Schizosaccharomyces pombe: one gene and its partners. The gene in region 1 interacts genetically with each later gene. Each region holds a gene or a part of one and is shown on either strand. Other genes may lie near its edges.

Region 1 (7,718 bases):
AATTATCCAGTTCTTACGGTTGTGACAGATATCATCATTAAAGCGGTAGTTTCACAATCCAATTGTTGCGCTATAACTTGGAGATTGAATATTTTTTTTTTCAATTGCTATTACCATTAATTAATCATCATAGACAGCTCGCATGACTGGTTCAAAAAGTAAAAAATTGTATTATTCTACTTTGCGTTGAGTAGTTAACAGTTTTCCTTACTTGAAAAACATCGTTCTTTTCCAGTTAATTCAACATTACACGTTTATTCAAAGTTTCTATAACTTCTATAGTTTTGTTTACTTGGAAATACCGTATTTGACCAGGATACATAATTCGTATTGCGTAAAATTGATGGGCTTCGTTAATGTTTATGAATGAATTAACTAAAGCCGAGCATTAAATAAACTTGCACATGGTGATGTTTTAGACTGAACAATGCGCATATGAATGTGTTGTTTAACCACATTTAAATGAACAGAAAAAGAAAGCAAGCGTAAAGGTGACATCTTTTTTTAAAATTAGAAAAAAAATTAATGTCTTCAATTTTTCGTTATTGAATATATCACAGGTCATTTGACCAATCTTGGACTGTTTATACGAATTATGCAGAAAGTAATCAATTGCTAAAATAATCAATATGAAGCTTCCTAAAATTTTATATGACGCAGCTGCATTTGGAGGACCAAGATCCACGGGGTTTGTTAAGATATTAAACCTAAACGGTCGTTCTTCGTATAAGTCATCGTATCTTGTGAATCAGAATTTGATGGATGAAGCGCTTGTGAAAAGCAATCTGCTTAAGGAATACAACTCGGAGAAAATGACTATTTTAGAAATGGCACCGGGACCGGGAGTGACTACCACTTCGCTGTTCAATTACTTCCAACCTAAAAGTCACGTTGTGCTAGAATCACGGGAAGTTTTTTCCAAACCTTTACAAAAATTGTGTACGCTTTCTGATGGAAGGATTAAGTGGGTGCATCAAGATGGTTATTATTGGCAAACTTACGAAGATGTGTACGTTTCGAAGGTTTTGGATCCTCGTATTCAAACAGAAGAGGAGCAGAAGTTATCACCACATCGCGAACTTTTATTTTTTGCTCATCTTCCTCATGGTTATGCCGGGTTATTATTTGTTTCTCAAATTTTAGACTTTCTCTCGGCAAGGGATTGGCTTGGCATTTTTGGAAGAGTTCGTGTATTGCTATGGTTGCCCTGTTCTCCTACTGTTACTCTTCTTGGAAGTAGGGGATTTTCAAAAAGATCCAAGACATCAGTTTTCCGAGAGGCCTTTACAGACTCTCGTGTATTAGCTGCCTCCGAGTCAACATTGCAAAAATTATGTATGGGGTATAGTAAAGAGGCCAAGGAGAATTATCAAATTTCTCCAAATCCTTTATTAGTTTCACCCACGCCAATTACTAGTGAACCGCATAAAGAGGACCTTACTTTGGTTGAAATGTGCTCCAAACCACAAGATAAACAATTGTCTATTCCAGTGTTTGAAAGCATTGTTAGGATACTGTTGACATGTAAAGCAACATCACTTTCAAAATCCATTTATTATTTAGGCCCAGGTGCGGAAACTCTATTACCCTCCTTCACCCAATGTGGGATTAACATCGATATGCCCGTTGGACTATTGAGTGCAGCCGACTTTCTTACCATTTCAAAAATTATACAAAAATATCCTTTCAAACATCATTTACATTTGGGTACAATAATTGAAGATTCATAAAATTTACAGAAAATTGGGGGAAACAAACGTATTGATTGTTTTTGTTCATACACGCATTTCTTTGCATCCAGTAATTTTGGTTTTTTAAAACCACTCTCTTTTTTATCATTTCTCCACTTCATGTTCTACTCATTGCGTTCTGAGGCCACTGTATTTCATTTATTTGCCTGTGCCATATTCGCTACATCATTAAAGGATTTGTTTGCGTTGAGACACGCGTTCATTCTAATCACCATATTTAAAATAACTTATGCTTGCTTAATCTATTACTAATTTATTCAATTTAAGTGGATAGCTTCCGTTCAGGCTTGTTTTACGTTCTTTTATGTCTCTCATAGTCTCAGGTATCATTTTTTTTTTGGAAAGTGCATAAATGCAATATGGATTTAACTGAGCTATTTTAAATGGAAGTTTACATCTTTCAACTTTTTTAGATGTTAATTAATACAAATACCATAACTTCGAAAAACTATTATAATATTCTTTATTATACCATGCTGTTTATTAAATTGTTTACTGAATTAATGTTTCATTATTATGAGTTGCTTTAGCTTTCAAGGTAGTATTTAATAATCGTTCAGTAGAAAAGCGGATTATTCATTCCCAAACATAAAAAGGTAAATGGAACATACTAGATTAGTTTCTACCCGTATTTGGCATTCCAAAAATAATATGATGAGATCTCATCAGTTTAAAGTGCGCTAGACAATAAACTACCATTAGGCCACGCATATTATTTACTGTTAGCACTGCACACCAAGTAAACCAATTAATTCAAAACATGGGTTCAGTTCGCATTCGCTCTGTCATTAAAGAAGATCTTCCGACCGTTTATCAGTTTATTAAAGAATTGGCAGGTAAGCGCCGTTATGACCAAGAGGACGAAGTCGTGTAGATTCTATTAAAAGGCTAGAGCTTTTGCCAGTATCCCAGACTCACAGGGTCTGATTCTCTTATTGAATTGGAGATTACTCTTAAGCTTTTTATATGGATTTGAGAATATATGGTTTTCGTCAGCAGGGTCGATCTCTACTTCTGTCCGCATGCTATCAGATCAGTTTGTGTTACTATTTAAAAACCGGTTTTAACATTTTGTTTATGAAGAATTTGAAAAATGTGAAGATCAAGTGGAAGCGACAATTCCGAATTTAGAAGTTGCATTTGGATTTATTGACGAGGTTACTCCTGTGGCATATGGAGTATTCATCGAAGAAAATGATCAGGTTCGTAAAAAAAAGTAAACTTGCTTGATCTTTTTTACTAATCTATAATTGCCATCAGCCCGCAGGAATGGCTATATATTTCCTAAATTTTAGGTAGTGAAAAGTTCCGTTTTGAAATATATGAGCTGACGTTGAATAGCACGTGGACTAGCAGAGTGGGGATTTATTTAGTATGTTCTTATCATATTGTCCTTCATAACCTTTTTATTGAAGGATTAACTTTTGATTTCATAGCAAGATTTTAACCATTCAATTTCTTAGGAGGACTTATATGTTCGACCCCAATTCCGTGGAAAAGGATATGGAAGCTACTTACTGTCTTATTTAGCACGAGAATCACTTAGAATTGGTGGCAGACGTCTTGACTGGGTTGTAAGTTGTTTATAACCCATTTCTTTTTTTATACCTTGACTAATACCCTAGGTCCTTGATTGGAACCAGAGAGCCATTGAAGTCTATGAAAAGGCTGGAGCACAAAAAGTTGGAGGATGGAGTATGATGAGAGTCACCGGCGAGAACCTAAAGGCTCTTGCTGATAAACTTCCCGGCAACTTTTAAACTCATACCCAATACTTAACGCTCTAAAAAATTGAAGCATGATATGTTATACCTTTGAAACCTTGAACTGGAAAGAGGAAAATTAATTTTTTATGATTGAAAGATCCTGGATCTTGTAGTTTCGTTTTAAAGCGGTCATTTCAATGTCTTTAGGTTATTTCCCGTTTACCAAAAAATACGATATCAATTTACATCTTACATTTTTTAAAATTAAAAAATAAAGAATCCTTTTTTTTGCAAAGTAAATTATTAGAACTGGTATATTGTTCTAATGTTAATTCCTATAAAACTAATTTGATCGTTTTCCTTTCAATTCATCAAATCGGCTTCTTATTGTGTATTAAAAAATAGAAAGAAAGTATTGGTTAGTATTCTTGAATATCTTTTATTGTGTTTCTTTTTCGAAACGCGTCGCGCGCAATTGTAAACAAACCAACTACCTACAACAGTTTGCCTGTCAATGTTTCAAGGAAAGTGCGCCTTTTTTGATGAAACCGTACCTTCTGCATTAATTGCTTTATGGCGTAAGTTTTAAAGGTTTGATGTGCACTTGTTTGTTGTCGAATGATTTATGGTTCAGTTGTTCTTACTAAAGATAGAATTACACAACGGAGAAGCGAAATTTTTAGCAGAAGGTTATGAAAATTTTGATTATGCATTTTCAATGCATCTAAGAAAGCACGTCCGCTTGCCAAATTACAAATCAGTTCAATGTCGTTCTCCTTGGTGGATTGCGGAGCAAGTAGCTGTTTCCAGAAGGTATTTATTAAATTTACTAAATATTGCATTGATAGTTTATCTTATCATTTACCAAGGCAAGTACTAACCACCATTATTAGCAAAAGTTACGTTTCTGAACCTGTCATTCATTTGAACGTGATGGAACCTTTATATGTTGATCACAGAATACGTTCAGTGTATCTACAGCCTCTGCCATCCACGCTTTCTTTTCTAAACGGTGAATTACCTTGAAATGCTTTGGTGCTGATATGGCGTTGTTCCGATTGTAAATTCTATGCTAATTGTGAAAAATACCTTTCCTTTTTCTATCCTTTATAATTTAATGATCGTTCCTTTAGCTCTCAAAATCGTCAACTGAAGTTGTCACAACCTTCACTTAACCATACGTTACGAATATTAATTTAATGCCTATTTATGCTATTAGCCTAAGATTATTTTCGAATTTTACCTAATTTCTTTATTTATATCCCATAAAGACACTTACGTCTTTTCAATGGACAATTGAACAAGTATACATTGCATAAACATAAAAAACTTACTTCATCTAAGTCCGAGTTTAAAAACTGTTGTTTCCATTTATTATTTCTCATTTACGTTTCGTTTCTTTTTTATTCTCTATTTTTTAATTCTTTTTATAATAACTTTTTTTTTCTGGAATCGCTCACCATTCGGACTAATTTATCTACTTATTTGCATAGGAAACATGAGCAAGTCTACTTTTCATCAAACTTCCCCATCTTTTGTACAATACACTCATGCTACAGATAAACTAAAACCTGCACCTCATGGGATGAATACGCGGGGAAATAACTTATCCTCTATGTCAAAAAATACCGGACAAAGAAAACAGCGTTCCAAATCCATTCATGGACTTCCAGTTGCTCCCGTTTTTTATCCTGATAAAGAGGAATTTCAGGACTCTATCGGTTATATTAATAAGATAGCTCCAATCGGTGAAAAATATGGTATCATAAAAATCGTTCCTCCTGCTGGTTGGAATCCACCGATGCAACTTGACATGAACAAGTTTTCCTTCCGTACTCGGCGGCAGGATTTGCATATGATGGATCTTCGATTTCGTGAAATAGTCTCTTACGATGAACGCGTTTACCGTTTTTTTTGCAATCTGGGCATGGAGCTCCCGGAATCATTTTTTATTTCCAATACGTCTATCGACTTATACAGCTTAATGCGTTGTATTGATTCTCATGCATCTCTAAGTGAGAAGGAATTAAAAGTTCATGTATGGAAAAGGATTTTACGAGAACTTTCAATTCCTTTTACTAATGCATCATTAAAGGAAGCAAGTGACTTGTATTTAAGGTATATTTTTCCATTTGAGGATTTCGTCAGAAAATATCAGACCTCTGAGGATCAATGCTTTGAAACTGATCTCTTCCCTAAATTTTTTACAAAAGACGAACATTCTAATATTAGTATTAAAGATCAGAAGACATCTAAACAATTTAACCCCGAAACTAATGAGTCCGTAGGAATTCTTCAAAACCAAGAATCCAAGAGAAATGAGCAGATTAAACAACAATATATGCCAGCCGATAATTTTGGATCAAATGATAATCACTCACATAATAAAAAGCGACGATTGAGCTCTCTGTCAACGAATAACAACCACTTATGTGACAATTGTCACAAACCTGTCAATTGTGAAGTCGAAGATACGTGTAAAGAAGCGTATTGTACTAAATGTATAATTAATCCATATGAGTTTGGGTTTGAAACAGGGAATTATTATACTTTATCGAACTTTGAAAAATACTGTGACAATTTTAAGAAAAATTATTTTTCTAAATTTAAAGACTCGGAGATAACTGAGGATATTGTTGAAAAAGAGTATTGGAAACTCGTAAAAGACAATAATACAAGCCTTGAAGTGGAATACGGTGCAGATTTATCAACCCTTGATCAGGGCAGCGCCTTCCCTAGTTTAGCCAAAAATCCAGTGAATCCTTACTCTAAGGACACATGGAATTTAAATGTTATAGCATCCACAAATGGTTCTCTATTAAGCTATATAGATAATCCTGTTTCAGGTATAACCTGTCCGTGGCTGTACGTTGGAATGTGTTTTTCAACTTTTTGTTGGCATGTCGAGGATAACTATACTTATTCCGTAAATTATCAACATTATGGAGACACAAAATTATGGTATGGAATTCCAGGTGATCAAGCCGAGAGGTTTGAACGCGCCGCTCTTGATATTGCTCCTGATTTGGTAAAAAAACAAAAAGATCTGCTTTACCAATTAGCTACAATGATCAACCCTGATGAGCTACAAAAAAGAGGTGTCGATGTTTATTTCATCGACCAGGGGCCTAATGAATTCGTGATTACCTTTCCAAAAAGCTTTCACGCAGGAATTAATCATGGGTTTAACATTAATGAGGCAGTGAATTTTGCTCCCAAAGATTGGTTACTAAACGGATTCTCTTTGAATGGCGTTTTGAAATATCAGTCACTTCTTAAACCTCCTGTACTTTCACATGATATGTTGGTTTACAATTTAGCGACAAATCCGGCGTCAGAGATAAGTGTGTCTGAGCTAAGGCCTTGGGTGCATGAGGCTGTCAAACGTGAATTAGGTATACGTATCATGATACGAGGACGCTATGATTTAAAGGAAATACTTTATCGTGAATTAATGGAGGATGCCGAAAATTGGCAATGCCAGCATTGCAAAGCATTTTCATACTTCTCTCAAGTTGCTTGTTCTTGCAAGTCGATTACTGTATGTCCATTACACATCGAATATCTTTGCAAGTGCGATTTAAGCAATAAGACCTTACGCCTAAAAGTCGACGATAATGAGTTACAGAAGTTGCTAAGTTATTAAAGTTACATTTATTCTTTTCTAAAACAATTATTTTGCAATTTATAAACCTATATTTTCAAGGTCATTTACAAACATCGTTGGATTCATGTAATGTAAACAATTTGACTATAATCATAGTATTGTACGTTTAAGGAAGCGTAGTGTACTTGCTTATGTATGAAGCAGTTTCCAACCTGTGAAATTTACTTCTTGTACATTCTCACTTTGCATAACAAAATCAAACCCAATTTTTAAACATTTAGAGCTCTTCAGTTTTTTGAAGATAGAAGGGATAAATATGAAACGAACTGGTTCTGCGAGTTCAGTACCTCGATTTCAGCGATCGATGAGCTACGATCAATCTAATTCTCCTACAGCAGGAGCTCATGCAAAGGCAAATACGGCATCGCCTGCTGCTGAGCCTGCTCCCTCATCAAAAGAAAAAGAGAATTGGAATCGGCAAGAAGAAAATGATCTGGAAGAAGACGATAGGGATGACTTTGGTACAGCTGCTATTTCAAAAGTTGCTGGAAAACCTGGTGAAACGGACGACGAAGCTAATGAAAAATTGCGCACAAAATATCTTCTAGAGAGTTTTGATGAAGAGCAAATGCAAAGATACGAAGTGTTTCGTCG
Region 2 (9,848 bases), on another chromosome or scaffold:
GTACAAGCGAACCCTATAAACATGCAGATAAAGTGTGTATGTTATGGAAATAGAATTTACAAGTATGAGAAGGATGAAAGTGAAGAAGAGGATGAAAGTAAAGAGAAGGATCTTTGGACAGGAACGGTTTCGGCTTTACAGGTTTGGATGGATTGAAAAAGCAAAATTTGGAATGAATGAATACTTGAAAAAATAAAAAATGGTGAGCTTGAAGGAAGAACTTTATGAGGATGATTTGATTATTAATAGAAAAACATTAGAAAACCGGTTCTAAATTGGTGTATTGGTGAATGGGTGTTTTTTTCGCAATCAGGAGGAGTCCTCAGACATGTTGAGGGGTTTCATTATTTAGATTATGATAAATTAAAAAATAAAAGAGATGAATTTTATGCAAATAGTTGATTATAAGAGCGCAACAATCTTTGTATTAATAAAACTACACATTCGCTTATTAAATAACCTTAAACTCGGTTATACATGGATTTCCAAGTGTCGCAAGTAGAGGAGAAATGGAGAAAATGGAAAGCAAAGAATGGATGAAAATTGTAAATCAGCAGTTTCGAACTTTTCAAAAATTTGTTAAAAATATTAATTTTTCAATTTAATTGAATTTTGTTTTACAAGGTGGATACTATGGAGGAAAAAACAAGATATGTATGGAAAAGGTAGCGATCGCAAAGGAAAAAAAATATTAGAAAAGGAAATGGAATGAAATTAATTGAACGAAATGAAAAGGACATGAAAATAAACAGAAGTATAGAACAAGAAAAAAAAAATTTTTTTTTAAAATAACATAAGGATGGAAGTGATCCGGAGTGAATAAATAGAGGGAAATGAAAAAAATAAATAAATAAAAAATAAATAATAAAATAAAAAATATTTATATACACATACATATAGATTGGAAAAAGATGAAAGAAAAAAAATGAACCAACCAATCTATCAATAAGTAAATCAATTAATCAATAAATATATAAAAATAAAAATTCTAAAACCAAGAAAAAAAAAAGAAAAAGAAAAAAGATTGAAATCTTATAAACAAATCCTTCTACGCTGCATACAAACACGTTACCACAGTCTGGAGTACTGTTGGAGAGTGAACCGAGACAGCCGCGGGGCGGTCCTTCGGCGAAACCAACGAGACGTTAAATATTTGCGATAATATTGTATAGTGCAAGTATGATAAAGACCGGTAACAAAAGTATAGCGGAAATTGAAAACCAAGTGCAAAATCTTCCAACGAGCAAAAGGTGTTACCCAAGCACGTCAGATGCATCAACCGAAGCAAAAATGTTTAAACGCAGATGAAAAGCTTATTGGAAGAAAAGTAAATTTAAGGCCAACGATTGGAGGAAGGAAAAAGTTTGATGGGGCAGATCCATTATGTTACACCTTGACTTTGTCGGCAATCAAGTCAAGTCAAGTGCCGAGGGCGCGCCAAGGTGGGTAAAGAAAGAGACAAGAGCAATACCGTGACGATCGGAAAAACCATTACCGAGAAATAAGGAAGGCCGGTAAATGGAATGAAACGTGGAGCGGCCAAAGGAAGAGAGAGAGAGAGAGTAGGAAAGAGTGAGCGAAGAAGGTGTCTGTCTGTAATAAGAGGAAGAAAAAGATGAGATGAAAGATGGATAGAGAGAGAATTGTAAGACATTGATAGAAACATTGATGGATTGGAAAAGAAAAAGAAGAAAAATCAAAAAGATGTTGGCAATTGTTTTGAATTCTAGTCAAAGAGTGAATGTTATATGTTTTTATGCTTAAAAAACAAAAAAACCATTCGAATGTAAGAAATGGTTTGAAGCAATATAGCCAGCGAATAAAAAATAAAAAATAAAAAATAAAAGGAAAAACCGTTCGATTCAAAGCAAAGTACAAACAAAGCCACAAAAGGATCTTACTAATAACGAATGCTACAAAAAACTAGACCAACTAACTAAACAAGTAGCAAAGGGATATAAAGAGGTACAGCGAAGTCACTGAAAAGATGAAGATAACGAGATATACAGATGTCATTAAAAGAGTGGTATAACGAAATATAGTGATATCACAAACCCACAGAATTTTAGGGCTGGTAAGAAAAGTAAAGAGAAGAAAAACAAAACAAAAGAATAAAAAAAACAAAAAAACAAACAAAAGGAAAGGCTGATGTGCATATAGTCTCAAAAGTCAATCGAGTTTAGTTTTACTTTTTCATGAGCATCTAGCATTTGCTCTTGTTTTGTGTTCGGCCGTCTGACTGTTTGGATGAGGAAGAAGAAAATTTTGTAGGGCGGCCGTGAAAGAAAAGGAAACAAAGGAAAAATTAAAAGAAAATAAATAAAATCGAATTAAATTAAATTAAATTAAATTAAATTAAACGAAATAAAATAAAATAAAATAATAATAAAAATAAAAATAAAATAAAATTGTAATTGTAATTGTAATTGCATTTGCTTTTGCTTTTGCTCTAGAAATGCTCCAATGTCTTTCCCTCGTACTAGTGTCATTGTCAGGATGCTGGATGGGCGAGATGACAAACGAGGAATAGTGTGTGCAATAAACAGGAGAGAGAAAGGCAAGTGAGAAGCAACAAGAGTTGAATCAAACTGAATTGAATTGAACCAAATTATTATTCTTCTTATAATCAAATTATTATTCCTCTTTAATCAAATCACTATTCCTCTTTAATCAAATCACTATTCCTCTTTAATTAAATTCCCATTCCTCTTGCTTACTGCCGCTCTTTTTTTCCCCCTCCCCTTGTTTAGATTTGGGTTGCTGAAATTTTCTTTTCTTTTTTTCATCCTCCTCCTCCTCCTCCTCCTTACTTTATTTTGTGTTTAACTTTTTTTCCCTTCTTTCCTTCAACTTTAATAAACCCGATCATTCCTTCCGATTGATCCTCTGCCAAATTTCCACCAAACGGTCGGATCCAAATTCAATGGAAAAGGAAGCGACTGGCGGTCGCACGAAGCAATGACCATGGCAGATGGATGAAATGATAACATCAACGGAATTAATTTCCTGACAAATGATGATACAAAGTATTGAATGAAACATGTCAATCATCATTTACTTATCTACATTTCCCACACTCTAGTGAATTTCATACTTTAGCTAATTTCAACACTTTAGCTCTAGCTACTCTTCCACCTCTTTAATTTTTTCTTTAGCTCTCTCCATCTCTCTATCTCTTATAACAATCTCTTTTTTTATACGTTATTCATCTTTAACCTCTCCCTTTCATCCCATCTCAATTCCTCCTTCGACTCTCAATCGCCCCCCATCTACCTTCTTTCGCTCTCCTTCTCCCCAACGAGGTCGCGTTCCTCTTCGCTATTCCCCTCTACTCCCCTCTCTCGCCCCACACACCGCCTGTCTCGCTCACTCAACTCCCTTTCGCCCTCCCCCACGTCATCCCCCCTGCTTGCTAGCGTTTAGCCTTTCGTTCTTCCTCTCAGCGTTTAGCGCGGTGCAACGGATTGTGGAGTCGCTCGCCGGAGGTAACACGTTGTAGCCGAACTAAAAGTGACATCATACTTCGGCACTTGCATGGGTGGGATTCCCGGAGATCGTGTGGATTTGCTAGCTCCTCCATCCAATGCGACTCGGCAGTTGATGTAGAGCGGCCATTCGAGATTACATGGGAGATGCTGTAGTAGACTGCGTGTTTCGTATACATATATTATATACACCTGCCGTGCACCGCAATACTTTTTGCCTTTTCCCATCCACTTTTTTTCATAGTATTGTTGAGAGCCACATTGATTGATTCCTTTTTATCAAGGAATTGAACCTGTTTCTCGTCGTCTTTTTTTTTTTTTTTTAAACTAGCAAATAAAAAAATTCATTGTAAGATTTGAATTATACTAAAAAGCTCTACTTCACTCCCCCGTCAGTCATAGTCCAACAACTTTGACTCAACAAAGCAAAAGCAAAAGCAAATCAAACCATACGATACGATACGAAAAACGAAAGTTTTTTTTGTCCATTGCATTGCTTTGATTCCCTTTGGTCTATCTGCCTTTGATTTCTTTTCTGGGTAAAACAGGAATTGAAAGAATTTTGAGAAAGTAAACGAAAAAATAAAGATTGAATAAAGCATAAAGATCTTATTTCCCATCAAAACATTGTTGTTATTGTTGTGATTTCTTCTGAAAAACAACAAATCAATTTCCAACTTTTCTATTCATTTACGCTTTTTTCCAATTCCCTTAATTTTCCATCCATCCATCCATCCTCATTGAGTCGAATTCTTTCTACTCAATTTGCCATTCGTCCCTTCACCCTTCCTATTCCACTCCCTTCTTTCCGGCTTCTTCCGTTTCGTTATTTGGTGTGATCGGTATCCCGAAAGTGAGTGAGTGAGTGAATTGTGTGATTCTCTTTCCCCCTTGGTATTCTTCCTTCAATCAACATTCTTTCGAATTCCCTTTTTGGGTTGATTTGTTCTTTGTTGTTGTTTTTTTTGTTTTGTTTTGTTTTTACGTACGTTCTATTTTCTATGAATACATAGAATTTCCTGTTTCGTAATCTCAATTCATTTCTCATTTTTCATACTTTATTTGAACCCAAGGTTTTCACACTTTTTCTTTATCTTCTCTTTTTTTTTATTTCCTTTGTGTGCTTTTCTTAAAGCCTCTTTTTTTTCCTCTTTGTGTGTCGTGATCGATCGGATCGTCTCGTCGGCTCACTTTACCTTGAATTTCTCCCTTTGGAAAATATCTACTGATATACCTATAAAAAGGTTCCCCATTCCCAATTAATTCCAGTATTGTTTTTTTTCCCTCTTCCTTATTTCCTTTTTTTTTTGTTCTTGAAATCTCTCATTCCTTTGTCGTTGCGCCAAAGAATTTTCCATAAACAATAACCAATTCGTTGTTGTCAGCGCTCGATTTCCCATCAAAAAAAAGTTATCTTCTTAGGAAATACTTATTTCTTTTCTCTCTTCAACCCTTTTCTTACTTGGAATTTATTTATTTATATATTTATTTATTCATTCTTCCCTTGTCATCCGTTGTTTTAAAAAAAACTCGCTTGACATTTCCTCAATTTCCCATCTCGTCTGACAGTATCTCCGTTACAAACTAATATCTGTCAAAAATCTTTGATTTTTCTCTACTTTCTCTTTGACGTGTTTGTTTATTTCTTGTGTTCCCATTCACTCCGTCTTGAGATTGCCTCTTTGAATCGTACTTTCTTACGCAATTGTTTTGTGTCGTACTTGAAAACTTGTATTGTTAAATAGTTTAACAACTACATTCCTTTGAGTTCATTCAAGTTTCTCTTTTGTATTTTCCTTGTTGTATTCTGAAGTTTTCTGTCTTTTTTCTTCCCTGTTTTTTACCTTTTTACCAAACCTTCCACTTGTTGTTTGGTTCATTGTAAAACACTTTTTTCTCTAATCTTACCGGTGGTTTGCTCTTCAGTGAACTAGAATATTTCTTTTGTTTCTTTATTTTACAATTGCACATGATTGCCGTTACGAACATGTCTGTCACCCCTCCCAATGTACAGTTTAACCTTAATGGGGATAGCGATCATAAATCAGACAATTCCAGTTCCTCACTGGAAAATAAACTTGACACTGAATTAAAAATAACGAGTCCTCCTCGTAACCCTCCTCAGCGTTTGCATCCTGTCGACTTTTCTGAGCACGCTGATACGGACGATGATATGAATCATCCTCTTCCCAGAGTTCAATCCCCCGTCCATATAAAGAATCACATTGACCCTAAACTTGCCGAGGATCGTTATCGTTCATCTGCTGCACGTCACTTCGAACCTATTTCCATTCCCCCTTCCGCTATCACCTCTGAGGATGAAGATGATTATCATGGCTCTGCTAATTCTTCTACCGTCCTTCCCCCTCGTACTGAAAATGCTTTACATGCTGCTAGTCCTAAACCTTCAGGTTCGACTGGTTACACCTCTCCTGCTCTTTCACAAAACAGCGGCAGTGGTGGTGAAGGCGAATCTGATGAAGGCTCTTTTAACACTCAGCATCATCGCTCCCCCATTTTTCAGGCATACCCTTCTTCAGAAGACCTTGTCGGCGATCCCAACGATCCTTATCGACGCACCCGCCGTGCTCCTATTAAGACAAATCCACATGATATCCCTTCACAGTTCATTTTCAGAAAGTTGGGTCTTCATCATGGAAAGCATGGTCATCATGGACACTCTGGTAGTTTATCGTTGAAATCTCTTGTTCCTAATCATCATGACAAGCATGATAAGCATGACAAGCACGAAAAACATCATAGTTCTTTAGATCTTCGTCGCTTTTTCAAATCCCATCAAAAGACAGACAAGGAGAAAAAGCCATCTGTTTCCAAGTCAAAATCTTCCGCTAACCTCCAAGATGATCATTTCGGTCTTTTCAAAAAATACGGAAAATTTGGAAGAATGCTTGGCTCTGGTGCAGGCGGTTCTGTCCGTATTATGAAGCGATCTTCTGATGGTAAAATTTTCGCCGTCAAAGAATTCCGTGCAAGAAGGCCTACTGAAACCGAGCGTGAATATGCCAGAAAGGTTACTGCTGAGTTTTGTATTGGTAGTGCTTTGCACCATACCAATATTATTGAGACCCTTGATATTGTTGAGGAAAATAAAAAATTCTATGAAGTTATGGAATATGCTCCATACGATATGTTTTCCATCGTAATGAGTGGTAAGATGACAATGCCTGAAGTTTATTGTTGTTTCAAACAACTTCTCTCAGGTGTTGCCTATTTACATTCGATGGGTTTGGCGCATCGAGACTTGAAACTCGATAATTTGGTTGTGGATAGTAATTGCTTTGTTAAAATCATTGATTTTGGTAGCGCTGTCGTTTTCAAATACCCCTTTGAAGCCGATATCGTTGAGGCCACTGGTGTTGTCGGTTCGGATCCATACCTTGCACCAGAAACCTTGGTCCGGAAACTATATGATCCTCGTGCAGTGGATATCTGGTCCTCCGCCATTATTTTCTGTTGTATGGCTCTTCGCCGCTTTCCTTGGAAATATCCCAAGCTTTCAGACAATTCTTTCCGTTTGTTTTGTATGAAACAGCCTTCAAATGATGCTGAGTCTCCCAGTGATATACTTGCTGACATAAAAAAACAGCGCTTAGTCGAGCAAGGATGCGAACCTATTAGAAAAACCGATGAATCACATAGTCCAAACTCTAAAACTGATAACTCTTCAACTCATAAACAAGAGTTGTATGGACCCTGGAGACTTTTGCGCCTACTACCAAGAGAAACTCGTGCTGTTATAGCTCATATGTTGGAGTTGGATCCTGTTAAGCGTTACGACATTCACAGGGTCTTTGCAGACAATTGGATTAATGATATTTCGATGTGCCATATGGAAAATGGTAAAGTTATTCATTCTCCAACACATGTCCATAATTTGGTGGCTTCAGAAGAGTCACCTGCTCCACCTGCAAAGCATTAAAAACTTATATTGTCTTTCCCACGTTTGTTTACAAAGTCGCCTTGGATATTGGTGATCTGTTAAACGATACCAAAAAATGAATAATGTGGTGGCTTGTTAATGAGCTAATCTCTTAATCGTTGACGGTGTAACTTAGTTTTCTTTTCAGACTTTTTTTATGTTAAAAAATACTTTATTCTTTGATTATTAGGGACATTTCAATTTCTTACTATAATCTCCTCTATTTAATAGTCAGTCCCTTTTTTATCAGCTCAACTTTATGATTGTTGGTGATTTTTTTTTTCTTTCTTTGGTTATTATATTATTATTATTGTCTTTGTGAGGTTAGCTTGTTTATGAGTTATTTATATGGTAAATAGGGGAAATCTACTGTGGTAGATTAAAAATATCTCTACAATTTTGAAAATAAATGTAAAATTGTCGCATCTTTGAATTTGGTTTTCATTTTTTAGTAAGTTTAGATAATACAATACAATTCATTAGTCTCAAAATTTTCAAAGATCGTGTTTGAATATGATATTTTGTCCTTTTCAACCGTTGTCAAAGTTGTTGCAAATATTGAATATATGCAGTGTTTACTTCAACTGTATAATAATGGTAAAACACGTGTTCAAAAAATAAATGCCTAGGCATCCATGTGCCCTGAAGCAGCTAGTTTTTAAGCACTAGAGACAATTTCTTAAAGAAGTAGAACATATCTCATGCAAAGTTTTCGAAATCAAATTTAAGGAAGACGACATGAATACAACGGAATGTGTGTGCTATGTTCTAGCATCGCTGACAGGACAAATATATTTTAAACAAATATCCTATTTTCTATAGGAAAAGTAAAGAAATGTAAAAAAACAGTTAGATTTGTGTTTTATTAGGAAATACAAAATATTTATAGGATGGGTTCACGAACAAAAGGAAGAGATCCACTTTTTTCTCAAACAATAGATCTTAATGAGGTATATGTGTTATTAACGAAAGGGCTGAACAAGAATAAGGAGGGTTCATCTTGGATTAATTGCCAAATGCATAAATCAAATTAAACACATTACTCATAAACTAATGACTTAGTTAGCGTGTAATTGTTTCAATGCGAGATCTGACTATTCAAACAAAATAAAATAGCAACGATCGAGCAAGTTTCTTACCATATACTAAACTGTAGAACAATGTCCAAGTTAAAACATAAGAAGGTGCGCCATCTAATATTTTAGCGATCCAAAACTTATATCCGGGCTGGTAATACTTAGTTAAGTTACCACGCATTTTCAATGCAAAGAGTAGAAAGGAGACGAAGAAGTAACCGAGTACATACAGAGCAAGCCCTTCATATGAAGTTAAACCCAAAATACCAGCTGCGCACCCGAAAAAACTAGAAGTCAAGTTTCGAACAAAAGAAACGACCTTTGGATTCATTAGCACTCAATTATAAAATCCTTAAAAAAACTAGTACCAAGAAAATCTAGCTCTGCAATCATTTCTTACCTGTTCATTATATGCAACATTTTCTACAACAATTGGAGCGACGCCTTTATCCCTTTCCATATTAGCTTATGAACAATTCTGATGTTTAGTTGAGTTCACCGCTTGTAGAATTATAACCAAAAAATGATGGATAACGCATCTTTATACTGCGGTATTAACTACATAAGGACTTAGTAGGAACGTAATTTTTTCGCAGCTTGACGTATCCTTAAAAGCATTTTGCAAACTGCGTAATTGCCAATCTTTCATGTAAAGCTACAAGCGATATGGATATGGGAAAAAGCATTACTTTTTGCTTGGGCTGAATGTTGGCTAGTTTGGAGGGTGAAATAGTTTATTCAATACAATTGAGTACTTTATTTTTTTCCATTTGATTTTTTTGAACAGAAATGGGCTAATTACTAGGATATTGGGAAATCGCATTGTTTAAAAGAGGTTCTCGTTTTACATCAAGGTCGATTTTTCATATTTATTTGTTTTAGAAAAAAGTATCATCTTATATTTCCTGTATTACTGGTTTTCTAATTCTAAAACTTGAAAATGGTGGATGAAACGTTACATACTAGATTGTTTACAGTATACCGAAAGGATTAGAGACTCGTGAACATTCGTAAAAGCGACATGCTTATACTTCCAAGAGAACGAAAAGCGAATTTCATTTCTTATTTACAATAGAATAGTTATTCTCATCATTCAGTCACGATCACTTTTTTCTTTACCAAAAATTGTATACCTAAATAGCACAGTATAATCCACCGCAAATTAACGTATCGTTAATATGTTTATGATCAAATACTATGTATTTGCATACCAACGCTGCGATACATTAAATAAAAACAAGCAGAAATATGAGAATTCAATAATAAAGGAAACATTTAATAATTCCAAAAGCGAATTGCTAATTTTTTAATTACTTTATTTTACAATATCCTATAGCACATCAATGA
Region 3 (5,997 bases), on another chromosome or scaffold:
TTGGCACAAGGAAAAAACATTTACAACTATAGCAGATTTCTAAGTGAACGAGCGAAACAATATGGCCGTCTCGGAGTAGATTATGCTCAAGTGGGTGATGCTCCCAAAAAAAAAATTCGTGAAATGAAACTTGAAAATGGTCTTTTAAGGAATGTAGAGGGAATACAAGCTCAGTTGAGGAGATTGATCAAATGTCAGTTTGTTGCTGAGGAGATTGACAATGATATTGCCATCACTGCTTTTCGTCTACTAGTAGGAGATTTACTTGTCCTTTTTAAAGCGGTTAACATAGGCGTTATTAATGTTTTGGAACATTATTTTGAAATGGGTCATCATGATGCAGCTCAATCTCTACGCATTTACAAAACATTCGTTAATCAAACTGAGGATATCATCAATTATCTGAGTACGGCACGATCTTTAGAATTTGTTACAAAGTTTCCTGTTCCAAATATTAAACATGCACCTATAAGCTTAACTGCATCTTTGGAAGAATACCTCAATGATCCGGATTTTGAAGAAAATCGTAAACAGTATCTTCAGAATAAGTCAGGATCGCCTGTTGAAGAAACCGCTATTCTAAATAGAAAGCCAACTTTGAGAAAGAAGAAAAGCATCCCCAAAAAGCAAAATGAAAGTTCTTCAACTATACAGAAAGAAAACACTGTTCAACAAGAAGCTTCGTCTTCTGAAGAGGAAGCTGTAAAAAGTTTACCGGAAACCCAGAGAACCACTAGCCGTATAGAAACACAAGAAGAAGAAATAAAAGAAGAAGAGATGGAAGGAGAAGAGGAAGAGGAGGAAGAAGAAGTACCAAATTATGAATCGGAAAACGAGCTTGAAGACAAGGTTGGCGATCTCTCTCTTTCTTTAGGCGTTGCTTCTTCATTCGTCGATGAAATGCTTAGGGAGCGAAACAATTTGAGCGCTGAAGGAACGAGTGCTTCACCTTCATTAGATAAAAAATCTGAAAGTACTAATATAGTGCAGCCTATTCCGAGTCACCCGAATGACTCTCTCAACCCTTTTTACAACAGCTCTTCACCAACTTATCACCCACAACCAATCCCCCCTCAATTACAGCAAGTTCAACTCTTGTCCCAGATGGCTGGAAATCAGATGGCAAACATACAATATACAATGAATGGGATGCAACAAACTGGAGCTTCTCCAAACACTGCTTTGAATATTTCCCAAGTTAACATGTATGCTCAAAATAATCCTGTAAATCCTTCAACAACCAATCCTTTTCAAAACTTTTTAAGGCAACCCTCTTATCAAGGAATGCAGTTTGAGCAGCAACAACCGACTACCATACCGTTACAGCCAAATATTCCTGTATTGAATCAGCAGTATCCTGTTATGATTCCTGCCATGGAAGACTCAAGGGGTCCGCTACCGTCCCCTGCTCACATTATGTATCCTGAAGGGTCTCCTGGATTTATTCAACATTCTCCTAATGGGTTCACGCATGGCCATTCGGCTTCCCCAGTTAATATTGGACAAAAGTTGGATGTTCCTGAAAGGCCGATGTCTACACCGTACACCGCATCTAAAAACCCCTTTTCAACGAGGGAATTGGCTGAACCAACTGATTTAGCGAGAAATTCAATTTCGACGGAGTCTAAAAATCCGTTCCGAAGTTAGGTTTGTTTTTGTTGTCAATGCACCCATCATGTCGTTGTATATAATCATGCATAAGTTATTGCTGGCTAGCTAATGACCCATTTATTAATATTATTATACTAACTCGCTCTTTATCCAAGACTTTCTCGATTTATTTCTAGTTTAAAAGAATGCCGATTTGCTGTTTATACCTTCTTTGTACTATCAGTTTTACAAATACCAGAAATTTCTACATTTTTATCAATAGAGCTTAGAAAGTTTTGTAACAATTGTAATTATACATATATAAAATCATGAAACTATTCAAATCTGGTCTCTAACATTTGAAAAATCTAGTTCAGGATGTTGTTTCATGAAATTTTGCAGTACATCTTTTCGTTTTTGTTCATCGGTACGCTTTTGGCTTTGCTCCAACATCATTTTTTCAACTGTAGCTCTTGTTTCTTCATCTAGATCAGATAATTTTGAATTTTCGGGCTCAATTGAGCCTATATCGATTGAGGGATGCCCTTTTATAACACACGACCACCATTCCATTTTATTGGATTTCTCGAGATGGATAACAAGCCTTTCTTGTTCTTCGACAGTCCAGGTGCTTTCATCTAAATTGATCTGTTTTTCGAGTGGACCACTGAGAAGGACTTTTCGTTCTGGGACGTTGATTTGAATTTTGAGATCGTGATTTGACATATCTACCTGGAGGGATTTCGCTCTTGTCCCTTTGGGTACATGGATGACAATATCAACATCGGCTATTGTTTGATCCCACTCGTACTCGGCCTCTTCGAGTTTTACTTGATGCATTCTTAAACCTGCAGCTCAACTCACGCTTTTCGTAATCGGTTGATTACTTTGTAATTTTATTAAATATGTGCTCGTTTTTGGCTAAGCAAATCAAATTCTTTTACGAGCCTAAAAAATGAAGCTAGATTTGATTAATGTATATTTAATTACCGACTTCATAAACCGGAATTTCAAGATTACGAGTTTGTACGCTACGTTAAAGAGCTAACGTTTGATGGTTTGCGGTGCACACAGTGGAGAGTCGTGCAAACTCGCAGGCTGTAACTTTTACTTGTGTTCTGTTACGTTTATTTTACTAACATTCGATTTTTATACAATACTCTAGAGTTAAAGATTTCACTTTTTAAAAAGTAGAATTTTGTTGCGCTAAAAAAAAACTTCAATTTTTGAGGAAGGTGTAACTCAAGTTATGTATTAGGCTTTGCAAATAAACCGAGTTTTAGGAACAATTCAATTTATTATGAAATTTGCTCAAAGCCGTTTATATGGGCTATGGCGCAAATCACAACAAGCATATCATAACATTAAAACATTAACGAACATCGTTATGTAAAATCTACCAGCATCATTATGTTTACGAAGTTATATGTAGCAACGAAAGGTACAACTGTTGCAATCATTCAAAATTTGTGTGGTAGATGCAAAATAAGCATGGGAATTGGGTTTTCATGATTATGATTCCTTTAACAATTGCTGTCGCTTAAATAAACTCGAAAGTCTCATGAATTAATGCAAAATATCAGCGCCTTATTTTAACTCAGTAAATGAACAGAGGGCTCGTTAAAGGTCAAAGGTTAAATTACTTAAATTTTGGACAATGCGAAGATGATTAAGGCACAAAATGATTTAGAGAAGAATACTGGAAGAAAAAATATAAACTATATTTAAAAGTACTATTGAAAAGTTTTGTATAAAGAAATCTTCTGGATTTTCCTTGTTTGCGAAATGGATATACTGCCAACGTATCGGTGCCTTTATTAAGCAGTAAACAAACAAACCCAAGTTCTTCCAACAGCAAACACTTCAAGATGAATAAAGGCCCAAGACATCGTCCAAAATTCTTATCAAAAAAGGGAAAAAAGCTTCGCATAATGGTAGCAGGATCTAGCTACACCAGTTACCAAGCTTGTATCAATAGCTTGTGCAGTAAACAAATACTGGAAGCTGAAACAGAGATAGATCCGCTAAAAGCTCATATTGATAGAATACTGGAAATAAGGGAATTTAATGCTGGTGAGTTATTACGGTTTTAATTTTCGTGTGCTAACTGTAATTAGATATTTTAGAAGATGAGTTCCATGTTGACCTTACGGTCATTGAAGTAAATGGTTTCGGAGATAAAATTGATAATTCAGCTAGGTAATACCAAAAGGTATTTTTCTAAATTAAAGCTAATTTCAATGCATTAGTTTCGAGGTAGTTACTCATTATTTGGAAAGCCAATTCGATCAAGCCTTGATAGAAGAATCTAAAATCAAAAGAAATTCTAAATTTACTGATACGGTACGAAATCTGCAAACAAAGTTTTTCCGTCCTTAACTATTTCAATCAAGTTACTTCCATTACTTGATTTAATGTTGTTAAGTAGAAAACCAAGAGAACACATTGGTTTAAGAATGAGGAATGAAAAAAAAGTTTTCTAACGATATTTTAGCGCGTTGATGCCCTACTTTATTTTATTGCACCCCGTGGACATTGCCTGTCTGAGTTTGATTTGGAAGCCATGAAACGGTTTTCAAAGCGCGTAAACGTAATTCCTGTCATTGGAAACTCCAACGCTTTTACTGAAGAAGAATTAAAGAACTTCAAAGATGTGATAATGAAGGATTTGAAACAATGTAACATAAAGGTATTTGACTTTCCTTGGGATCCTGAGGAGGATGAAGACGAAGTCATTGAGGATAACAAACGACTTTGGGAAAGTGTTCCATTCGCTGTATCTGGAGGGGTATCAGAGGAAGATGAAGAAGGATATCAAAGAATCGTCAAGAAATTCCAATGGGGAACATTCGTAATTGATGATCCTGCACATTCTGATTTTCTTAACTTGAAGACCGTATTGTTTATTTCTCATTTGGATATACTCAAAAGTATAACTAAACAAACCTATTATGAGAATTATCGTACAGAAAAACTGTCCAACGACTCACCTTCGAACACATCATTGTAAGAAATTAACTATGCATAAGCGAGCTAATAAGTTAGGTCATTGCAAAAGCAAAATTCCATAGTTGCAAATGAAGATAAAAGAAGTGTAAATGGTTCTGAGAGAACGGAGACTCGATCTTCGATTGATCAATCAGAAATGCGAACTAATGGTAAGTATATGCATTCTCTCATTTTCGTGCTAATGAACGCAGTCTCCGATTCTACAAAATCTGAGGAGTTAAAGAAAATTAACTCCATCAAAGTTGACAACACCAGCAGTCTTAAATGCGATTCTTATGGAAATACTAAAACTAAAACTAATCAATTAAACTGTGAACAAATTGGATTAGAAGTAATATCGCCAAAGGAATTTCCTCACAGAACTACATCAAGTCGAAACAGTCTACCCAACAATACGACAAAGGAATTGGAGATGAAGAAAATGGATGATTTGTCTCATGAGCGTTACGAAAACCTCCCTTTCTATCGCTAAATTAAACATTTGAGAGTGCAAATTATAAACAATCAAAAGAATAATTTAGTATAAGTTCATGAAAAGTCTTTTGATTTCTTTTTAATTGCTTAATCATACACCTACTTCTCTACCTATGTCCTTAACATAAGCATTCATTAGACTACTAGATTACCGCACCCACACGTGCATTGTTATGACCTACTTGAAACGATGAGTTAACTGAGGGCTGCCGAACGTCTCGTTTGGTATTTTTAAATAAAATATTAATTTACAAATTCATTTAACTGTTGATTACTGAGTAATGAGTCGAATCAATCCAATGCTCATCATTACGTCTTTCAGGTTGAGTCGTAGATGCGTAAACGGTCGTTCATCGATTTAGGCATTCGTGAGCATATGATTTTGGAAATTTCGTTTCTTTCAAAGACGTTATGATTACAACTATGCAATTTTGAGGTTGCTAACACGTAACTCTTTATCTAAACAGAATAAATGATGAGGTTGTTCTGAAAACACTCTTTTTTTAGTAAGAAAATAAAGAAGAAGTACATAAAAAATCAATCAATTTGAAGTCGTAACTAGGCTTCTTAGCTTCAGCGGCTTGTCACTAATGACTAATTATCCTTTTTTTCGCCAGGGGACAATTTTCGTGGACAATTCAGCAATTCAAAGGAATTCAGAGAATAAGAATAGTCTTTCGATTGAAAATATTTTTGGGAGATTTCCTAAAGAGTTCTTCCAATTTTTTTCAATAAATGTTTCTAAATCAACAACCAAGAAGTCTTCCGTCGTTATAAAGCCAAGTACAATTACTGCACCATGGTTAGAAAATGAATACTTAGACAGTAATACTAGCTTACTTTCCGTTCATTCAATTCAACCTTCGTTTATTGGAATGTCTGACTTCGCAATTGGATTAGATCCTTCACTGAAGCGTATATTAC
Region 4 (8,718 bases), 2.5 Mb from region 1:
ACACCAAGGGTTAACCTAGTGTAAACACAATACGCATTGGGCGGTAACGGAAGCGAAGTTTTAGTAAGTTGTTTTGAATACTATACCTCATTTCCTTACTACAATCCCTGTGAATAGTCTTAGGCTTTGGAGTTTGGGTTTTGTAAGTCAAGCCAGCGCAGGGTTTACTCGAGTCAGATAAAGATTCACGGTTTCAAGCATGACAGAGCTTCATCCTGATGAGCAACATGTATTTCTTCAATGTCTAAATAAAATGCAAAAAGAGCTGGATCTCAGCTTTGAGCGATACGAACGGCTATTTAAAACTACGCAAGAATTACAAGTATGTACATTTGAAATTGGTTTATTTAACCTATTATGAATGATTAATTTTAACTGTTGTAAACACTAGGAAAAAGTGAAATTCTCGTCTTCTCGATTTTACAATAAGGATTCGACTTACTCTAAGGATCAAGGCTTAGCGAAAGAATCCGCTGCTCTAGAGTTGCAAAAATTAAAGCAAGAGAATGTGCTACTTCGTAAAGACCTTAATAATTTGGAGCAAATCTCGGATTGCTATGCAAAAGGAATGGATGATATAATGAAACATGTGGCTACGTATACCGTAAGAATAAATTTATTTACCCTCGAACATTAAATTAACCAAACCTATATAGGCAACGATGAATGAAAGGATGAATGCTTGTCATAAAGAGTACATAAAAATGTACGAGGCTTTAGCTAGCGAGCGCAATTCCCTTTATAAAATTAATGAACAGAACGTACAATCTCTGAATAAAGTTAAAGAATGGCTTTTGAAGAGCCTTGAAGAAGAGCCATAGTTTCTAAAAAAGGATTCCAACACACCTTGAAAAGCTTCCCAATTTGAATTTGCTCAGAATGACCATTAACTGATTTAATATGGCAAACCAAGTTCTGACGGTTTTTATTTACTCCTTCCCTCTCTGTTTATCGACACTAGAAATATTTATGATGATATTTTCTTTGATTGTCGATTCGTTACTTGTGCTGACTTGATTTCAAAATGTGACAAAGCTGTTTGGATATACTGGCGTGTGAATAATATTCTCAAAAAAAAAAAAACATTCTAGAGATAACATGTAATTATTATATTTCCATTAATCTAATATTCATTACATAAATTCATCAAAACATTAAATGTACTTGACCGTACGACGTTGAATGTTCTAAATAATAAGACGGACATATGCAAGTAGTAAAGCTCCAGACCTTAAGCGAATACCGTTAGAAAATAAAAATTAGAAAGTTTAAAATTCTACAGTGAAAACATACCCTGTGACAATTCCAAATACCCATTGCAGAGTTTGTGTTTTAAAGCTAGCCAATTGTGTACGAAAATTTGACATTTCGGTGTCAATTTCCGCAGATAGTTCACGCAACTTTAGGTCCTGTGATGCTGTTTCGTCGTAATGGTTTAATCGATCTATATTTAACTGTAATCTGGCCTCTGAAGTGGAATTATTTAGTTGATCACGAAACGATGTTTTGAGTCTCTCAACGTCAGAAAATAGCTGCTCAACCTGCGAGTGCAAAGCGACCATTTCTTGACGCTCAATACTTTGTAATTCACTTCGAAGATGAGCGAAATCCACTTTTTGCTGGTACATTACACGGTCTTGCTGTTCTTTAGTAACCGAAAAATCACTAATCTTTTCATGCCTACAAAAGGTTAGGATTGCACTCAATGGGCAAATGCTATTGCACATACATGTCAGAATACACATTGGAAATTAACCGCATGAGTGTTTCAGATTTTTTATCATCTATTCCAGCTTCCTGCAATACACGAACGAACCTCAACGAATTAAAGCCGTGATATTTCCGATAGAAGCCATTAAGGCCTAAGGATCGTACTTTATGTACAGTTCTAGCTCGAAATAAAGGTTGGAACTGATGGTATATACTATTGCAAGGAATCTTTAGATACATTGGATCTTTCAACCTGTCCTTGAGTGGGTAGTAGGTGGGAGCAGAAATTAACGCGCAAAAGCAATAAGTAAAAAGAAAGTTATATCAAGTTTTGATCAAGGCAAGTATAAAAAAGAATGAATTAAAAATTAGACAACGTGAATTTGTTAGTCATTTCTCGAAGGGCTTCTGAGGTATACCTCGCATCGTTGCCGGCATTGTGAAGACAAAAAGCTCGGATGTTCAAGTGAGTGAGCATTTTAGCAAGAGAGATGTTGTTGGAATTTGAAATTTCTTTGAGGAATAAACTTTGAAAGAATGAGAAAACGTTCTGCGTATCAAGAACCGTGACATCCTTTGGAATAGGTATTCCAAGGACGTTTGCATACTTTATTTCGTTTTCCACTCCGTGTCCTACTAGATGTAGATTTGGTGTTTTCAAAATTTTTTTCAGAATACTTATAAACGCAATTTTTGTCACAATCTTGGAGTCACCAAATTGAAAGTTATCGGCTTCATCTGGAACAAATCGACCGTTGCGTAGATGTAGAAAATTCTTAATCCTGTAGTGGTGGTAGTCCCATTCTCCATTAATTCTCATCGTAATCCCAGCCTCAGTTATGATTTTCTGGTTGAATTCATATGCCTCAAAATCAATTACCAAAAAGTTACAACTTGGGTTGGAAACGGCTTGAAATGCTACAAGAGCTTCACCTTTGGCTCTAATTAATTTCTTTTCAGCTCTTTGAATTGCTGCACGTCGCTTCCGCTCTTTCCTTTCTGCTTTAACTTCTTCTGGCGTCAACTTGTAACGAATCCGTTTTTGCTCATGCCGAGAAACATTTACAGCTTTTTTTGCTTGCAATCTGTTCATCTCAGAGATAGATCTTAAAATAAACGGAAAGGGGAATTCGTATGAAAGCAAGTACTAGTGATAACTTAGAAGAGGTAAACAAGTAGCTTCTAACTTCTCTAGCAATGGCATGTGTAATTTCAAAGTATATACTAGCAAATAATCCCAAATCCTTATGTTGCAAAAAATAATTATCGTTAATTTACTATGATTACTTTTTCAATTTATAAATGGATTTTGTTTTGTTAAATATCAATTATTCTTTGTTTACAATCAGAAAGTGTGTTTAAAATATATATTCCACTGTCAAATATCTTCGTTCAGTCATTTCCATCTATTCAAAAATTACAAATATAAGACATATTTCAAATTACCTGAAAAAGGCTTCAATTTTTAAAGCTACGTGATTTTTTACATCAAAAAATATTATTGAATTTAACAGGTGACTCTATCACGGATTTCACTTTGTTAAACAGCTTTTAGGAGGTTAGCATTTGTTAAAAAAAATTTTATTTTATTTTATTTTTTTTTTATTTCTTATTAATTGACTGAAGAAATACTCCGTCTCTTAATTTGATTATGAAATTTTTTTTTATTTTTGGGTATGGTTTCTTTTTTTTCTTTAATTGCAATTACAAAAGTAATTAAAATTATGTTAGTCTTTATGACTTCTCAATTGCCATCCTTTAATAAATAGATTAGTATCAACTTTTGAACGAATCTAATATTACAATTGCAAGTTTAGATCGATTTACTAAGCTCTTTCAGTACGATACAAAAAAACAAAAAAGGAAGCAAGAAGTATACTAAAAACCATACACTTGCAGATATTTGGTTGAGGAAGATAGAAAGCTATGTTTTTTGGATGTATAGTTTATACGCCCTTTATCAATTTTGAAACTGTAGCTTAGTATAGAATGAAGTAGTGTAGATATTTGAGCGAACGTCAAGACTATCAATTTTATTGATTTCCATGAATGGTTTAGAATTTTGCATTTAGTATAAATTATTTCATTTATTTTGTTGCCCCTAATATATCTCCTAGTTGCGCTCAGTGAATTTAACAATTGCATGCCTTAACTCTACTACCACCTCCATATTTTCACAAAGTATGGATTTAAAACCAAATATTAGAAGAAAGGAAAAGCGAAATTTATTAAAGGGAGAAGCTGCTTTAGAAAAAAAAGGCTCTATTGATAGAAAGACAAAAAATAAAGCATATCCGTCTACTACTCACGATCCTCATCAAAATGATGATTCCAACATTCCTGGATTAGGAAGTGGACTATTGGAAAGGATCAAAGATATTGTTCAAAGGCCAACAGATACCCAATTAAAAGGTCAAGATTCGAACCATAAGAAAGCCAGCTTGACTGAAACGAAGACCGAGAAAGCCAAGGTTAAACCGAAGGCAAAGAAGAAAAACTCGAAGGAAAAAATCTCTAAAAGTTCTAAGCAGGATGAACATAAAACCGACGTGCATAAAGAAAGTGTCTCGAAACTTTCCAAGAATTTGGAGTCCAGAAATAATCGAGATGAAAATTCCGCGAAACGAGAAAAAAACAATTCTCATCAAGTTGAAGCAGATACGAATAACGCCACTGAGATGGTATCATCCAATGCGAAAAAGTCAGTATACCCGTTGTACTACGACTCTGCAACGGTTAAAAAAGGATTAAAAAGTGGTACATTATTTAAAGGAACGCTTCGTATTCTTGAAAATCATCGTAGCGCTTTTGCTTGTATGGAAGATATACCTGATTTTTATGTTGATGGGCCAATTGCTAGAAATCGTGCTTTTCACAACGACGTTGTAATTGTGGAACCTGTGATGAATAATGACAGCCCCACTGAAAAATCGAATTTTTTACAGAATGGTGTCGAGAAAGTCAAAATAAAAGATCATGACGATGAGTTAGGTGGAGCAATGGAGCATTTGGAAAGATTAGAAATTAAAAGTGTTGCAAGCTTCAAAGGTGATAGCAGAACGAGAGCTCGTGTTGTCGCCATTGAGAAGAGAGCGGAAATTTCTAAAATTGTAGGGATTTTAAGAGCACCAGGTTGGTCATTAAAAAATGTAGAATATGTTTCCAAAAAATCCTCGTACGCGATTTTCATTCCAAAAGATAAACGTCTGCCCTTTATCACAATTCACAAAAATGATTTAAGCGATTTAAGTGGTGAAAATTGGATTGAAAATATTTTGAAACACCACGATCAGTTGTTTTCAGTTGAGATTACAAGGTGGAGTATTTACTCTCGTTACCCTATGGGTGTATTAGGTGAAAAGCTGGGAAATATTACTGACGTGGAGGCTTACACTAATGCGCTTTTGCTAGAAAATGGAATTAGTAGCTCTCCCTTCTCTGATGAGGTTTTAAACTGCTTGCCTCCTGATGATTGGATTATCTCACATGAGGAAATAAAAAAACGAAGAGATTTAAGAAATGAGTTAATTATTACCATTGATCCTGAAACAGCTCGTGACTTGGATGATGCTGTTTCCTGTCGCGCTCTTGACAATGGCACTTATGAAGTGGGTGTCCACATCGCTGATGTTACTCATTTTGTAAAACCAGATTCAGCATTGGACAAAGAGGCAGCTTCGCGGGCTACAACAGTATACCTTGTGCAAAAGGCTATTCCGATGCTTCCTCCTCTGTTGTGTGAACGACTTTGTTCATTAAATCCCAACGTTGAGCGTCTTGCATTTAGCGTTTTTTGGAAACTCGACTCCAATGGTAAGGAAATTGGTAAGCGTTGGTTTGGCAAAACAGTTATAAAGACATGTGCCAGACTTGCCTACAGTGAGGCTCAAGGTGTGATCGAAGGAAAGTCCTGGGATGATGCTGTAGGCAAACCGATAGGAGGTACGCATACTCCAAAAGATGTTGAAACGTCTATATTAACACTTTGCGAAATTTCGAGAAAGCTTCGCAAAGATCGATTTGCTAAGGGCGCTGTAGAGATTAACTCGACAGAACTCAAATTCCAATTAGATGAATATGGAATGCCGAATAAATGCGAGGTATATGAGCAAACCGATGCAAATCATCTCATCGAAGAGTTTATGCTTCTCGCCAATAGATCTGTTGCTGAACATATCAGTAAAAATTTCTCCAATAATTCCTTGCTTCGTCGCCATGCAAGTCCTAAAGAGAAACAAATTAATGAGTTTTGTCACTTTCTAAAAAGCATGAACTTCGATTTCGATGCATCGTCTTCAGCTGCATTTAATGCCTCTATGGTACGACTCAGAAGCACTTTTAATGAAGAATTGGTAGAATTATTTGAAAATATGGCAGTTCGCTCGTTAAATCGTGCTGAATACTTTTGTACTGGCGATTTCGGTGAGAAAACAGACTGGCACCATTACGCTCTTTCATTTAATCATTATACCCATTTTACTTCTCCGATTAGAAGATACCCTGACATTATTGTTCATCGTTTATTGGAACGTAGCCTTAAGAACACATCCCCGGGTATTGACAAAAAAAATTGTTCGTTAGTGGCTGCACATTGTAATGAAAAGAAGGAGAAATCCACCACTGTGCAAGAAGATAGCCAGCAACTCTTTTTGTCTGTATATATTGCTGAGTATTGCAAAAAGCATGATAAGAAATCTATGCCAGTTCAAGCATTTGCGACTAGAATATCTGGAAATTCTATTGATGTCTATATCTCTGAATATGGAATATCCAACAGAGTAGACCTCAGTTCAGATGATAGAATTAAAAGTTTTATAGTTGCTCCCGATGACTCCTCTGTTAAAATTACGTTGTTTGATGATTCTCAAAAGACTATAGCTCTTACGGATCGTTTCCAAGTTTATTTATATTCTGATTACAGTCGTACATTTTTCAGTATTCGCTGTAGTCTAGTTTCTTTGAATTAAAGGCCTAGTGTTGTTTATGAATTTTTGACTGAAATATAACTTTGTTAATTTTGGGTCAGATTACCTTTTATTTATGATGCATGCCACCTATTGAATGGTTGTTCACGTTTATCCTACACATTTTAAAACGCTTATTATTATTACTATTATGTTTCATGGATTATGACAATTGAATGACTTTGTTATGCCCAGACGACTTATGTTTGATATATTTTTCTCATTCGTGAGAGAAACACAATTAAAATAAAAAATTTAACATCAATAAGAAATTTCTTTAGTTAACAAATTCACTTTGGCTGCAATTGTTGAATATTTTATTTATACCTATACATACAAGTAACAATAGACATTGTGACCTGAGTAAGGTACTCAGTTTTGTGCAGCAGCTTTTCCACTACTCATACCGAGGAGGATCTTGCCTCGATATGGATTTTTATAATCATGCTGCCAACATACTTTCAGATTTAAGTAAAAAAAAAGGATCAATTAAGCAATTAGCATTTAATTCAAAAAAACATGATCCAAAACGCACTTATGCTTTGGTTTGCGAAACTCTCAAATGTAAACAAGAATAGTAAAACTTTAATATAAACGATTTGACTAACTTTCTTCTTTTATATAGATAAACCTGTTTTGGATGAAATAATTGCGCGATCCGAGTTATTAGTTTTAGAGAAAAAGGTACAAATTAATGAAACGATAGTTGTTTCGTAATTTTTTGAAGCTAACCTGGTTATTGTAGTTAAAAGAAAATTTGGCTAGAGTCCTTGTCCATGATTTACTGATGTCAAAGCGAGGGTTATCCATTTCAAATGGTCCTATCAAGGAATGCATTCTTCGTCACAAGACACGCCTGAACGCCGAGTTTGTCAAACTCAAGGTGAAAAAAGGGGTTAAGAGCCATGAGGAGCTGGCATTGAAAAATCCTGTGTCGCTCCCTCGCTGGCTTCGAATAAATACCATTAAAAGCACAAAAGACGAGGTTTTGCAAGGTTTAGGCTTGGATAAAGTCAGTTCAATTGAGGAACTGGGCCCCGACAAATTTTATATTGATGATTGTGTTGAAAACTTAATAGCCATCGATCCATCATTTCCTATAGTTGAAAATTCATTGTACAAGGAGGGGAAAGTGATTATTCAGGACAAGGCATCTTGTTTTCCTGCTGCTGTATTGGCCGGGCTAACTGGTCACGTTGGTGATATAATAGATGGATGTGCTGCTCCAGGGAACAAAACTACTCATTTAGCTGCTTGTTTTCCAAAATCTCATATATTTGCATTTGAACGTGACGCGAAAAGAGTGCAGACACTTCGAAAAATGGTGGGAATATCAGGCGCTAATAATGTCACCATCGAACATCAAGATTTTACCCTAACTGATCCCAAGAGTGATCTTTACCGAAATGTCACTCATATCCTGCTTGATCCTTCTTGTTCTGGTTCTGGAATTGTGAGTCGTCAAGACTATCTGCTGGGTAATGAACAAGACGTTACGGAAGATACCGAAAGACTTGAAAATTTGTGTAGTTTTCAGTCTACCATTTTAAAGCATGCTTTACAATTTCCTAACTGCCGCCATGTCACATATTCTACATGTTCAGTGCACCGTTTAGAAAACGAACAAGTAGTATGTGAGGTTTTGTCGCAAGAACCTGACTGGAAATGTAACTCTTTGACAAAAACTCTACCCAACTGGAAAACTCGAGGAATTCCAGAGTATTGTGCTCAACCTTCAATGGCTGAAGGAATGATTCGGTGTAAACCAGGAGCCGGAGGTACTATTGGTTTTTTTGTAGCCAATTTGTATCACCCTCAAAGAGAGCAAGAAACTTTCAAAATGTATAAAAATGATGATGATACCAAAAAGCGTAAGCGCAAAAAGAAAAAGAAGGAAGTGAAGAAAAAGGCTCGCATACAAGGTGAAGAGTAAATTCATCAAAGCATTAAGACAAATTATCGCATAGCACTTATTCAACAAAGTGAGAGAAGCTATCGTTGTATGATCTCAATTTCTATAGACAATTTTTTGTGTTTTTGGAAA

The links.
Region 2: mutations in jmj2 (region 1) and oca2 together harm fitness less than expected from each alone (positive genetic interaction), as found in Schizosaccharomyces pombe (one large-scale study listed by BioGRID).
Region 3: mutations in jmj2 (region 1) and nud3 together harm fitness less than expected from each alone (positive genetic interaction), as found in Schizosaccharomyces pombe (one large-scale study listed by BioGRID).
Region 4: mutations in jmj2 (region 1) and dis32 together harm fitness less than expected from each alone (positive genetic interaction), as found in Schizosaccharomyces pombe (one large-scale study listed by BioGRID).

Annotation. Positions count from the first base shown.
Region 1 is NC_003424.3:1,804,035-1,811,752, reverse strand, and holds jmj2 (histone demethylase Jmj2), read left to right. Parts: upstream 1-4,955; coding exon 4,956-7,103; 3' UTR 7,104-7,205; downstream 7,206-7,718. Other genes in the region: RNA polymerase-specificity factor Mtf1, read left to right, coding at 630-1,730; SPOM_SPAC1002.07C (N-acetyltransferase Ats1), read left to right, coding at 2,512-2,587, 2,835-2,953, 3,012-3,046, 3,093-3,123, 3,215-3,325, 3,377-3,511; bouquet formation protein Bqt2, read left to right, coding at 3,972-4,035, 4,111-4,270, 4,351-4,483; transcription factor TFIID complex subunit Taf11, read left to right, coding at 7,381-7,718.
Region 2 is NC_003421.2:756,478-766,325, reverse strand, and holds oca2 (serine/threonine protein kinase Oca2), read left to right. Parts: upstream 1-3,701; 5' UTR 3,702-5,472; coding exon 5,473-7,425; 3' UTR 7,426-7,958; downstream 7,959-9,848. Other genes in the region: heterotrimeric G protein beta subunit Gnr1 , read left to right, coding at 1-156; protein Emc6, read right to left, coding at 8,465-8,475, 8,565-8,820, 8,902-8,961. UniProt on the Schizosaccharomyces pombe protein: Overexpression causes cell cycle arrest.
Region 3 is NC_003423.3:3,227,954-3,233,950, reverse strand, and holds nud3 (nuclear movement protein nudc), read right to left. Parts: upstream 2,560-5,997; 5' UTR 2,431-2,559; coding exon 1,930-2,430; 3' UTR 1,871-1,929; downstream 1-1,870. Other genes in the region: yap18 (ENTH/VHS domain protein), read left to right, coding at 1-1,647; meiotic septin Spn7, read left to right, coding at 3,459-3,663, 3,708-3,789, 3,840-3,933, 4,085-4,596, 4,636-4,748, 4,791-5,071; serine/threonine protein kinase Ppk24, read left to right, coding at 5,664-5,997.
Region 4 is NC_003424.3:4,269,256-4,277,973, reverse strand, and holds dis32 (3'-5'-exoribonuclease Dis32), read left to right. Parts: upstream 1-3,844; 5' UTR 3,845-3,893; coding exon 3,894-6,677; 3' UTR 6,678-7,082; downstream 7,083-8,718. Other genes in the region: protein Csc4, read left to right, coding at 200-322, 392-604, 657-821; SPOM_SPAC2C4.09 (uncharacterized protein), read right to left, coding at 1,188-1,230, 1,294-1,680, 1,730-1,950; SPOM_SPAC2C4.08 (uncharacterized protein), read right to left, coding at 2,072-2,803; rcm1 (rRNA methyltransferase), read left to right, coding at 7,103-7,238, 7,300-7,358, 7,420-8,607. UniProt on the Schizosaccharomyces pombe protein: 3'-5'-exoribonuclease that specifically recognizes RNAs polyuridylated at their 3' end and mediates their degradation.